Regions from separate parts of the Mus musculus genome. Here regions 2, 3 and 4 are each reported to be linked to region 1. Evidence: microRNA targets listed by miRTarBase, many of them from high-throughput screens and not tested one by one. Region 1 holds a microRNA gene; each other region holds the end of a gene's coding sequence.

Region 1 (3,184 bases):
TTTACCTTATATTCATTCTCTCCCATATAAGATCACAAGCTCTGTTTGGTTTGTAGTTTTTTATCCTCCACATAACAGGTGCTCAAATAAGATTTGTTGCTTCATTTATTTTTTCAACAAATACTTATTGAGGACCTGCTATATGCCAGGCATGAAGAAATATAACGTGTTCTATGTATCCTGACATTGTCTTTAAAAAGTTCGACCATATTTTTCAATATGACATAGAAGTTTCAATATTTCTAAAAAGTAATTACTAAATCATTTTCTTTATAAACCTCCTTTTATCTCTACTTTGTTCTTAGTTGTATCTAAATATAGAGCTGTTGTGTTTCTGACCTATAATGTGTTTTATTCTGGCTCTTCAATTAGACTTTTTAATACATATTTAGTTTGGCTTTGCTTCCTTACATAAACAAGGAGATGCCAAAACAAGAACAAGTACGTTTTAATTATAAGTATTAAATGTGCAAGGATTGCTATGCTTTCAAATCAAGCTAAATCATTCTACTACTCTAGAAAAGTCTTCTATTTAAAATGAATGACATATATCTATTCAGAATATTTTCAATAATAAGTTTCAAATGTAAGAATGAGGTGAGCATCAGGTGACATATTTATTAATATCCCATTAATAATGTAAAACATCTGCATCTAATGTGTCATCAATGTAATTTTTGACACATGGTCATAATATATTTGAAACAAAAGTTTTATGTTGTTGAATCAATGGGATATTTGAGGAAATTGTCTTTCTTTTACTTTGATGCATGTGAATGCTTTGCCTGCGTATATAAGTGCACCACATGCATGCAGTGCCCAAGGAGGCCATCAGAGGGTGTTAGATTCACTGAAGGTGGAGTTAAAAAACACTTGTAAACCAAATTTTGGGTGCTGGGAATTGAACCTTGGTCCTCTGCCAGAGCAACAAGTACTCCTAACTGCTAAGCCATTTCTCTAGCATCTGAATTATTGTTTATAATTCTACTAAAAAGCTAACTTTGACTCTGTGTGAAATTTTAACAATCTATGTAAAGAAGAATATCAAGTAACAAATAAAAATAGAATCAATATGGAAGTTCAAGTAGTGTGTTTTTGAATCTAGGTTGTGGTGTTTGGAGACAGGATTAGTAAAAACCTTTAAATGGATGGTTAGTTAATTAATCTGTACCAAATACAAAGTTATCCTATAAGAATTCGTGGTTTATTCTTCTGGATGTCTTCCAATCTCTATCAAGTTCTCACTGCATGTTCTGTGTATTAAATAAAAATCTACACAGCCCATGCAATGAGCACATCCTAGAGACTAATATGCTTGTGATATGTAGTTCAATAGTTGTTAAGGGGTCATCAGCTTGTTAAGTTAAAAAATATTAAGTATATTTGAAATATTAGTTGGCAAAGTGGAAAACTTAACCAAAGAATTATGGAATATTGGAAATTGAAGAACCAATAGATTAGCAATCTGTCACCCTCTACCATTGCACTACATACTCTTTCAAACCATATAAAGAAAACAAATAGCTACCACAAATAAAGGTTGATATTTGAGAACCTCCTGAGATAACATAAAAATTTATAAACTCAAATAGAAAAGGTCATTGTTCACTACATCCAAACTAAATTCCCTACTCTGGTTAGTGATCCTGTAGATAGATGGTTTTATGAGAAAAAAAAATATTGGACATAGGAAGAAGGAAAACCTGGATTACATGTTATATTTCTCTGAATTTGTACAAATTAGTTCAATCTCTGGGTCTCAGTTTATACCTATTAAACAGGGACATCAGTAACTAAATTTGCTATTTTTTTTTCAAAAGATAAAAGACTTTAATAGGTCAAAGATCTCTGTCAATTATAAAAAGTTAAGTAAAACTGGTTCTTGGTCTTACCTGAATCAACGTATTTTCCTCATAGGTCTTGTTTTTTAATATTTTTTGTGCTGTTTTTTTTTCCTGAAATGTTCCCAACAACTTTTATGTTATTTTTCAGTTCCATGACCCTGAATTAAATGTTAGACTTTATGGAGTAGCTATGTGATGACTAATTACCTATTTTTTTTTTTAATGAACAAGTTTCTTGCAATGCAGTTGTCTGGAAACAACTAAAGTCCTGGCTACAATCAAATTTAGAATAAATAGGCAGGACAGGGAGAGAGTTAATAAGGAAGTGAACAAATGCACAAGATAATTGCAGAAGAATAATGCTGTAAAAATACAACAGAGCCAAGTAAAATAAGAGACAGAGTTTAAATAGTGAGGGTTGCTGGTGTATGTATCATGGGAGATTAATGAAACAGTCACACATAACCTGGGACTTAAAGAATGAGGAGCATCTAGGCAACTGAAATAATACTGTTACAAAGAGAACATCAAGAGCATGTGACTTCAAACTGGGTGTGAATTACTATGGCTGGGGAAAGGAAAATGCCTGAGGTCCTATCGCTGAGCCCTAAATACTGCACAGTTGTAAATATGGAATGGTGTGCTAAGACAAGTAAACAAATCTTCACTGATGGTTTGGTGGAGTTGTTTTTTGAATCTTATAAATATGTTCAACATAGCATCACCAGGAGCCTTAATATTTACTTGCTAAATGATCTGCAAAATGAACTTGGGTTTGAAAAATATTTTGGTTTAGTCCCTATCATTCTAAAGACCAACTATGGATTATATTTAAATGAAACAATTTGGGGAAAATAGAAGACTACAATGCTTTGCTTCTTAGTTGATGTATTAGTATTCTTTTAGAGCCAAGATTTGTTAACATTGAAAGAGTTGAAATTGACATACATTAAGCTATAAATTATCACTTTAATAAACTCCCTTGATATGTGATAGTCTCCACTTTCATATTAGAAAAGGCAGAATTGCAAAGTATTATTTGAAAGAGCTTTCATGATTTAATGGATATGCCATTCATATCTCTGAAAATTAGCACAGCTTAATCATGATAAAATACTAATAATATAGCTTACATGTTTTGTAATGGAAAATGAAGCATTTCTCTACAGTGTCACCTTTCAGACAAACTACTCCAAATATGTGGTGCGTTGGCATTGGAATACATGGCAAAGGAAGAATGGTCACTTTCCTGACCCCCCTCCTCACTCATAATACTAAAGATGGAAATATGGAAATCAAAGTTTCTTGTAAGCCTTCTACTATTGAGTTACGGTATAATG
Region 2 (3,184 bases), not on the chromosome of region 1:
CTGGAGTCTGCAGAAGTGCCAAGAAGCTGCAAGAACACCACCAGAAGTTCTTTGGTGTGTTTCTCTCTGTGAAGTCATGACAAAGACCAGCAAGGAGTAGCAAGGCGAACCAATACCACACAGTGTTGTTCACTGTTGGGATGTATTTATACCTTCTCCAAACATCACATGTTCTCTCAAGCATCTGCTCTAGCAAAACATCATATACCCCTTTCCAGGCAGCTTCCAGAAAATCATCACATATCTGTTCTCAGCAAAACATCTTCTACGTGTCTGCTTCAGCAAAAACATCCTCTGATAAGACAGTTTCCAGAAAAGCATTACATGACACAACTGAGTCTCCGAAGAAACCAGACATTTCCACTTCAGCTCTTTGAATCTGACACACTTGAAGCCTACCTCAAGGTATGTCAAGTCCCTGCAGATGAGTTAACCAGAGACGCTATCAATCACCACCTTTGCTTTCTGGGGTTTGGGGGAGCACCTGAGAGTAAAATAGTCATTGTGTTTACCTCAAGCATCTCTAAAGCTCTCAACACTTATTTTTGAAGAACAATATTTCCCTGCATCACTATGGCACTAACTAAAAATCAACACTCACATAAGTATTTTCATATTTGGGGGCTCCCATTCATTTTTCTTTGACCTAATGTCTTATCTCATCCTTGAAAATGTAAATGTCATTACATGGCTCATCCTGCAAATTATCATTGCAATAGTACTATCCCCATTTCCCTTTTCCTTTATTTTTCTAAAGGAAGCTCAAGGACAATTTTATCAGAGTTTACAGCAAACTGGTACAAAGGAGATGAAAACTCTGGCATGCAAAAGGAAAAGATGAAGAAAACACCATGACTTTTACATTAGATATGGAGTAGAAATAGGTGGCGCACACCTTTAATCACAGCACTTTGGAGGCAGAGGCAGGAGGATTTCTGAGTTCAAGGTCATCCTGGTCTACAGAGTGAGTTCCAGGACAGCCAGGGCTACACATAGAAACCTTGTCTCAAAGGAGAGAGAGAGAGAGAGAGAGAGAGAGAGAGAGAGAGAGAGAGAGAGAGAGAGAGAGAGCGCCTTTTAAGAAAGGAAAAAGCTCTCCCAAGAATGTGAGGATGCTAGTAAGCTGAGGAAAGAGTCTGAAGTCCTTTCCCCTACTTAAAACAATTGTATTTGTTTTTGTTGTTTATTCTTCTCTCATATATAACATCCTGACTGTGATTCCTTCTCTCCTCTTCTCCCAGCCCCCACTTATCTCCCCTCTCCTCCAGATCCACTCCTCTTTTATTTCAGAAAAGAGCAGACCTCCCAAGGATATCAACCAAACATGGCAAAATAAGATGCCGTGAGACTAGGCACATCTCTTCATATCAAGGCTGGGCAAGGCAACCCAGTAGGAGGAAAAGGGCCCCAAAAGCAGGAAAAAGAACCAGCAGCAGCCACTGCACCTATTGTTAGGAGCATCACAAGAACACCAAGCTACTCAACTGTAAAATATAGGCAGAGGACCTCGGTCAGATCCATGTAGTCTTCCTGATCCTCCCTTCAGTCTCTGTGAACCCCTATGAGCCCAGCTTATTTGATTCTGTGGGCTTTGTTCATACAGTGTCCTTGTCCTTGACCCTTCTGGCTTCTATAAACCTTCCTCCTCCCTTTCAGGAGATTTACTGTGCTTCTCCTAAAGTTTAGCTGTGGGTCTCTGTGTCTGCTCCTATCAATTGCTGGATGAAGCCTCTCTGATAATGATGATGCTAGGCTCCAGTCTACAGGTATCATTAGGAATCATTTCATACACTTTTTTCTCAGTTGTGTTTATATTTCCACTATTTTAAGAAATATGTAAGATTGCTACATAAGATTGGTGCCATCTTGCTTTTCAATAGACTGCCTGGTGGGCTTATCAGCCATCAGTTTTTTGTTTGCTTGCTTGTTTTTTGTTTTTTGGTCTATACTGATTATTTCCTTGATGCAAAGCTAATAGCTTTTCCATTCCACCCTCCCCATTCTCTTTTAGAAAGGTTTCACTTAATTATTTCTAAGACTTCCTTTGCAAACAGAGGAAAAATAAAGTGTTAGCATGGGCTTATACATTTGGGTTTTAGTTATTGCCTAATACTACATTATCTTAATTTTTAATTTTAAGAGATTGTAACAAAATTCCATAATTTCTCCTTTCCTTTTCCTTCCCTCAAATTCTCCTATGCCTCACTTCTAGCTCTCTTTCAAAATCATGGCTTTTAAAATTAATGATATTAGATGAGTATATGTATATACTTATATTTTGCTAAATATAGCCTTTTCTGTTTGTAAATGTTACTTATATGTATGTTTATGTTTTAGGAGTATCGCTGCATTCCTGCCATCCTTATCCTGCTCCACCTGAGCGGGGGATCCAATGCACTTTTCTGGGGAAATCGGCAGTGAAGTTGAAGATGTGTGCTATCCCTCGGGCTAGGCAAGCACTCTACCACTGCTTACCCCCAGCCAGCCACATCACTGCCATTATTGAATTTCATGTTCGAATTGCCACATACATGATCAAGGAAGTCGCTATAAACTGTATTCTGAGCCAAAGGTGAACTCATTGCTTATGAAATGACATTACTTCTAGACTTTTGCAGGATCCACAAAATTACACACACACACACACACACACACACACACACATATACACTATACAGAACTATACACACATTAGCGGATAATTATGATTCTTTCCCATCTTCTACACTGCACACTCCAGAATCCTGCTATATACACAAACAATCTTTCATTTGTCTGTTTAAAGATAATTATATACATTCATCTGTATAGGCCCTCTCTCTCTGTCCTCTTTCTGCTGACTCTGCTTTGGCTGCAGGAGAGCAAAGCGCTGTCCAGGAGTTCAGGACAGTGCTTGGACCTGGCCTTGAGGTCAGGACACTGCCTCATTAACAGCCCAGGCGGGGTCCAGAGGCTCATAGGGCTGTAGCCAGTTGTCGTTGTCGTTCTCTTCGAGGACCTGTGGCCCTCTAACCGGCAAAGAGCAGATGGTCATAGGATCCGGATGTTCACTGCCGTCGTGAGCTCGGGGCCTTAAGTAGGCGCGGAGCGCCCCTGAGAAAGTGTCGGTGAAGCTGAAGATGTGCGAGCCATCAGACACGTTGAAGAAAGACAGCTTCCCGGCCTCGTAGTCCAACAGGACGCC
Region 3 (3,184 bases), not on the chromosome of region 1:
CTCATTACGGATGGTTGTGAGCCACCATGTGGTTGCTGGGATTTGAACTCAGGACCTTCAGAAGAGCAGTCAGTGCTCATAACCACTGAGCCATCTCTCCAGCCCTGAGCACTGGGTATATTCATGTCTGACCTTGGTTTCCCTAGTTTACAGTACTCAGTCAAAACACATATTGGGTATTGTTTCCTGGGCCCCAACATCACAAGTGTCAAAGACCCTCTCCGAGAATGGTTGTCCTATCTTCTAGAACTTTCTCAACTTTCCTAATACTGCAATCCTTTAATACAGTTCCTCATGCTGTGCCTACCCCCTCCTACAAAATTATTTTGTTCCTACTGCATAAATATAATTTTGTTATGAGTCATAATGTAAATATCTGATATAAGACGCCCATTTTCACAGGTCATTTGACCTTCAAGGAGGTCATGAGCCACAGATTGAGAACGGCTGTTCTAGAAGTAAGCACTGGTCAAATGGCACATGCTTGCACACACGTGTGCACGAGGTTGGAGAGCACAGAGCAGGGCAGACGTCCCTGGGCACCCGGCGGCACATGTCCAGACTCTCTCTGATGAGGCTTCCTTGCCCTGCAGAAAGCCTGTTGGCCAGTGTCAATTATGACACCCCAGCAAGACACTCAGGCACTGCTTTGCCCTCAAAGTGGTTAGACTCGAGGCCAGAGAGACAAGTCAGTGGCTAAGGGCACTTGTTGCTCTTGCAGTTGCTCTTGCAGTTGCTCTTGCAGGACCCAGGGTTTGATTCCCAGCACCCACGTGGCAGCTCACAACCGTGTGTAACTCCAATTTCAGAGAATCTTTATGGCCTTTATGGCCTCCACAGGTACCAGGCATACATGTGGTGTACAGACATACATGTACTTAAAATTTTTAAAATATATATGCATTTTTAAAGTGCTTCCAAATTTCCAAGGTACCTAGCCTCTTGCCCTGTTCCATTTTTGTTCCTTGGGCTGCCATAAACATGGTCCTGAGTCTCTCTCACCCACAGACAGCATACCTCCAAACTCTGAGTTAACTTCTTAAAAATCCCCTCAACAGAATGCTAAGTGTCACACCCCAGCCTTCTGCCAAAATGGGGTTGGCACCCAGCACTCTGTGACTTAGTGTTTCATAACAAACTAATCCTTGCCCTTAGTGAAATAAACAGTAAACATTTGGTCTCTAGCACGGCCCTTCCCTTCCAGGTCTTCTATGAGACTCTTATCTACCTAACACAGTGGCCGTGGGTGGAAGATGGCTTCCACGGTGGTTCACGAAGGTCGAAAATTAGTGTATGGTGATTGTAGTAGACAGTGGGGTAGCCTCCTCTACCTGTGAAAGTCTCCACAGGTATGCTTGAGTTTTCTCTGGCTGTAGTGGCCAGATTCTGGCAGAGAGAGCAATCCAAAAGACCAAGACAGAAGCAGCAATACCTATTCTAATCTGCACTCAGAAGTCACACTATGTCCCTCTGCCATTTCTTTGGGTCTGCCCACCAGCTGTAACTGGAAGAGACTGTACAAGTGCACAAAGGCCAGGTGATGAGGACATTAGGCTCTGCTGCAAGCCGCCTACCATACCCTTTCACACTCCAAAGGTATACTCTTCTCCCTATCAGGCTGAGCTAAGAAAAAAAGAAAGCTCAGAACATCTAGATTAATTCAGTAAAAACAAAACAAACAAGTACCTCACAGTACTTCTTTTGGGGGGAAGTTTGAACCCGGGTACTTGGCCTTGCAGAGCACAACACTCTCACTGTGCTAGATCCTCCGCTCTTCTTGAGGAGACTCCTTTAAAACTGTGACTATGAAGCTGGAGAGATGGATGGTTGTTGAGTGGCTAAGAGCACCCACCTACACTGCTCTTCCAAACGACCTAGGTTCGATCCCAGCACCTACATGGCAACTAACAACTGTAATTCTAGTTCCAGGGGATTTGATCCCTTCTTCTGAACTCCTCAGGCAAGCATGTGGTACACATATATACATGCAGGCAAAACAATCATACACATAAAATAAACTAGTTAAAACTAGATAAGTCATCTGACCCTCAACTCTAAATGCATGGGTCCAGCATTCTCCCAAAGGGAAAGCAGGCCTCACCTTTCCATTCTTAGACCTCACTCTACACAATAATCAGAGAACACAGCTATGGAGATGCCTGTTAAAAGTTCACGTTTACATTAGAATTTATAATTCAGTAAAAACCTAAGGTGAGCCATTAAAAGAATCGTGTCATATTTATTTTAGAATGGTTTAAATCAAATACATTTGGGCACAGTAGATATTTGACATGAAAAGCAGTTGTATCAGAATGGTCATCAGAAAAATAGTAACATTTTACACATAATAACTAGAAAATATTTTCTGTCTGATCACTTGAGTTAGAAATCCTGAGAATGTTACTCATTGAACAATTAGAATCTACCTCATAACTGAAATTTGCTCAGAAAGAATCCTCTTAAAAGATGCTCTGAAGGCCAGGCAGTGGTGGTGTACACCTTTAATCCCAGCATTTGGGAGACAGAGCCAGGTGGATCTCTGAGTTCAAGGCCAGCCTGGTCAACAGAACAAGTTCCAGGACAGCCAGGGCCACACAGAGAAACCTTGTCTCGAAAAAACAAAAAACAAAAAAAGCTCTGAGGTACAAATCACCTATCTAGTCAACATGTGTCCTCTACATCTTACAAAGGATTGAAACTAGCAGATCCAACACTTCTAAGCCACTGGCTCTTAGGGAGGGGTCAGTCCGGCTCGAGGACGCACTGTTCCACGATTTCCCGAAGGTTGGGGTTCTCCATTGCAGCTGCCACTCGCTCTTTGTCATTTATCTGCTTGTTGACTGCAAAACACAAGGACAAAAGTTAACAGAACTGTGCTGACAGAGAGGTCAGTCAGCAGCATTTTTCCAGCCTGCTAAAGCAAAGCATTTAACTCCTTGAGAACTTACAGCTAACTCATCATACAGTTTATTAAGATTTTTTTCCCTTGGGCATACACACACACACACACACACACACACACACATGCACTGCTCACAAGTGTATATGGAGGCCAGAATAGGGCACTGGATCCCCTGGGGCTGAAGCTCTGAGTGATTGTGAGCTGCCTGATGTGGGTCCTGGACACTGAACCCCAGTCCTTGGGAAGAACAGCAAGTGCTTTTAACTAATCCATCCTAATGCA
Region 4 (3,154 bases), not on the chromosome of region 1:
AAGGGTGATCCTGGGTGATGTCAGCGAGTCCTGAAAATACAGAGCTCATTGTTTCTCTAGTTTTAACTGTCATGCTGTCTCCGCTCCGTCTGTGCGTCTGCATCAGAACATAAAATGTAATTGGTACTGAAGGTAAAGCACTGAATGAAGCTGCATGGCTGGCTGTGTCAGTGAACTATGTGCAGCTTGGGACTGCGAGTTCAAGCGTGATTTCTCTATTTCTGAGTTCATTACAATAAAATTATTTCTGTTTTTAAGTAAAATACCATAAATACCTTTTAGCAAAAATAAAAAAGAAATAAAAAGAAGAAAAATTACAAATATCTTCCCTGTTTGCTGGTATTCTTTATTTGTAGCTTACTAGGTCTTTCTCATTATTAATTCTGTCTTTACACTATAGTAAAAAAAAACTAATGAAGACCTTGGAAAACAAGTTATGTGTTAACTCTTAAAGAAGTAGTACATTTTACATGATCTCTATTATATAAATGACTCCTTCTTTTTATAATCTGGCAGTAAATTTAAAATATCTGATAATACAACAAAAAATAAAAATCATTGTATTTTTCCAGTAAAACCAATTGAGTTGTGATGTGGAATAACTAGCTGTTTGTTAAATATGGTATAGGTAGATTTACCTCCATGGTTGTCTTAACTATGGTTTCTTAAAATAATGGATCTTGCTCTCTTGTTTTGTCTAGGCTGCTGAAAACACAAGCTGACTTCCAGAGAATTCCTGATGAGATATGTCAAGCTTAGCAAGAAAATTTGAAGATTCCATCATAGTCAAGATATAAAATGACAATGCTGCATGCTGAGTAGAAAATGTTTTCTTTTACAAAGAATTATAAAACCATGGCTGAGCATGTCAGTGGGAAGTGGCTTGAGCGAGAATCAGCACGTGTGTTTACATCACGTCTTGTTGTAATGGCCCCAACTCCAGAGTGTTGCCACACTTATTTATGTATATTTATAGCTCTGCTAGCTGTGAGTTTCTAAACAGCATCTACCCGACATGCACAGCTGCTGAGCCTGTTTGAAGTTAGTGGGTTGTATCAGAGGTGATGTGTAGTAGTTATGACTTGTTGACATTACCAATATAAACCTTAATTTTGAATTGTTTAAGCATAAAAACTGGCTGTGTGTTCCATTGAGCTGTAAGTTAATGGAATTTGAGCTGCTGTTTGTGAAGTTTTCTGTTTCACATCTTGTTTTTAAAAATAGGATCCAAAACATCTCAAATCATCTCCTTAACAGAATATTTTGTTTTTTACCCAGTTTTTGGCAGTTAAAGGTGTAAAGAAGATCATTTTTATATTGCCGAAAACTTAGAACTTTTAGAAACTTGGATTTTTAAAAAGGAATGCCAGGGCTTGACTTAGCATTATTTGTAGTTTGAACCATTAAAATCTAATAAGAACAGCTGAAATGCATTTCTCTGTAAATCTTATAACCACATAAAGGTCCACAAAATAATGTATGAAGTGAAAACAGCAAACATACAAAATTCCTTTTTAATGTTATTGCATAAAAACAATAAGCTTACTAGCGAATCTTGAGTGGCTATTAAGTCAGTACATAGGTGGTGTATTTCAACAGATTAATTCATGTTTTCTAAAGAAGTAGGATTTCCAGTTGTTCAACAAAAACTAATGAAATATGTACCAGTATTATTTGCAGAAAATGTTTGTAATTTTTACCATTAAAGCTTTTAACTCATTAAAATGATGGTCAAAGATAAATTTGAAAAGCTGGATGGAGTTGCTTCTGCCCCTGTTACAGAATCTCAGTGGGATATTTTCATGAGCTCAGTGTGTATTTAATCTGAATTTTTTGATTCTTAAATTGTTTTTGTTTTGTTTTGTTTTGTTTTTCAAGACAGGGTTTCTCTGTGTAGCCCTGGCTGTCCTGGAACTCATTCTGTAGACCAGGCTGGCCTTGAACTCAGAAATCCACCTGCCTCTGCCTCCCAAGTGCTGGGAGTAAAGGCATGCGCCACCACCGCCTGTCTTGATTCTTAAATTTTAAGTTTGATTCCATGCCAACCCTTTTTTATTTCAGAGAAGCCAAGGTGGTTTTAAGCCACTTAGTAATGAAGTAGCTGTTTCCTCTGCTCTGAGACTCATCTCGTCTGCTGGTCAGTAGTCCCTGCTGTCAGAGGCTGAGGCCGAGGAACGGTGACTCGCAGGCCAGCGTACGCTGCTTAGGCAACAAAGTGAGACCTGATCTCTACAGACAAAATCTTGATTGTGATTGTTTTGACTTTTTACATGTATGGCATCTTTACTAAGTAAATTGAAAGGTCTATTACAGGCATCTCTTCCAAGTTGGGAGACAGTAAGAACTTGTAAGAACCATTTGATTAGTGATATGCATATATTGTATATTATTTTTAAAATCAGAAAGTACTTTCTCAGATTTCACAGTTTGTATGTATTTCTAGACCACAGAGTTGGTTGGTAGTTTTATTTTTGATTTTGTAGATTAAGTTATGTGTGAAACAAACTAGGAAATTATATTTAGGAAAGATTATGTTTAGAGAGAACTTCCTAATTGTGTCACATTTTTAGATGTAAACATATTTTTAATGAGTACATAAGTAATATTTAAGAAACCAGCGATACATGTTTGTCACCAGTGACAAAAATAAAATCATTTTGTGTTATTGGCCTTGTCCTTTTGATATACTGTATACTTCTGTGGGTTCAGTTCTGTTTTTGAAGGTAATCTAAACTGAAGGAATTTACTGTGTATAAAAATGTTAAGATGGCTATGATGCATCGTATAATTACATCTTAACCCTGAGTATGGGTGGGATTCTTTTTTCCTGATAGTGAGGGGAAATTATAATAATAGCAGAAATTATTATAATAGCAGAAATTATTATAATAGCAGAAATTATTATAATAGCATTGATTTGGCTTTACGACTAAATTGACAATTCAGATAAATATTGACAATTCAGATAAATATTGACAATTCAGATAAATGGTTTTTTTTTCTGTATCTTTATGTGGAGAGTCATAAAATTTATTTGCATGTTCAAATATGTGAACATTTCCCAATATGTGAACCAAATATGTTTCAAACATTTAATTAAGAACTCAGTTCCTTGTTTCTTTAACTATTTTATGTTGTAGTGAAATATAATGTA

Evidence for each region. Region 1 holds the annotated microRNA mmu-miR-1912-3p (CACAGAACAUGCAGUGAGAACU, at 1,237-1,258, opposite strand). A microRNA usually pairs through its seed, bases 2 to 8, with sites in the 3' UTR of a target mRNA and lowers its output. Matches are read on the target gene's strand: a 7mer-m8 pairs with bases 2 to 8, a 7mer-A1 pairs with bases 2 to 7 and ends in A, and an 8mer does both.
Region 2: the mRNA of Btnl9 is a reported target of mmu-miR-1912-3p. Seed matches in the 3' UTR shown: 8mer at 2,674-2,681.
Region 3: miRTarBase lists Ciao2a as a target of mmu-miR-1912-3p. Seed matches in the 3' UTR shown: 7mer-m8 at 2,564-2,570.
Region 4: miRTarBase lists Mzt1 as a target of mmu-miR-1912-3p. Seed matches in the 3' UTR shown: 7mer-A1 at 1,919-1,925.

What each region holds. Positions count from the first base shown.
Region 1 is chrX:147,007,567-147,010,750 of GRCm38, reverse strand. It overlaps Mir1912 (microRNA 1912), which reads right to left and starts at 1,310; the gene lies at 1,224-1,310. The region is part of intron 2 of Htr2c (5-hydroxytryptamine (serotonin) receptor 2C); the gene reads right to left. Mir1264 (microRNA 1264) reads right to left here and starts at 150; the gene lies at 65-150.
Region 2 is chr11:49,166,143-49,169,326 of GRCm38, forward strand. It overlaps Btnl9 (butyrophilin-like 9), which reads right to left. Exons shown (of 10, transcript NM_172793.2): 10 at 2,183-3,184. The coding sequence ends at 2,912. Among named protein-coding and RNA genes, the nearest start is that of Olfr1394, 7.7 kb to the left of the region's middle.
Region 3 is chr9:66,137,993-66,141,176 of GRCm38, reverse strand. It overlaps Ciao2a (cytosolic iron-sulfur assembly component 2A), which reads right to left. Exons shown (of 5, transcript NM_026635.3): 5 at 2,209-2,840. The coding sequence ends at 2,743. Among named protein-coding and RNA genes, the nearest start is that of Ciao2a, 13 kb to the right of the region's middle.
Region 4 is chr14:99,034,058-99,037,211 of GRCm38, reverse strand. Mzt1 (mitotic spindle organizing protein 1) reads left to right here. Exons shown (of 3, transcript NM_175245.4): 3 at 702-2,668. The coding sequence ends at 722. Among named protein-coding and RNA genes, the nearest start is that of Mzt1, 11 kb to the left of the region's middle.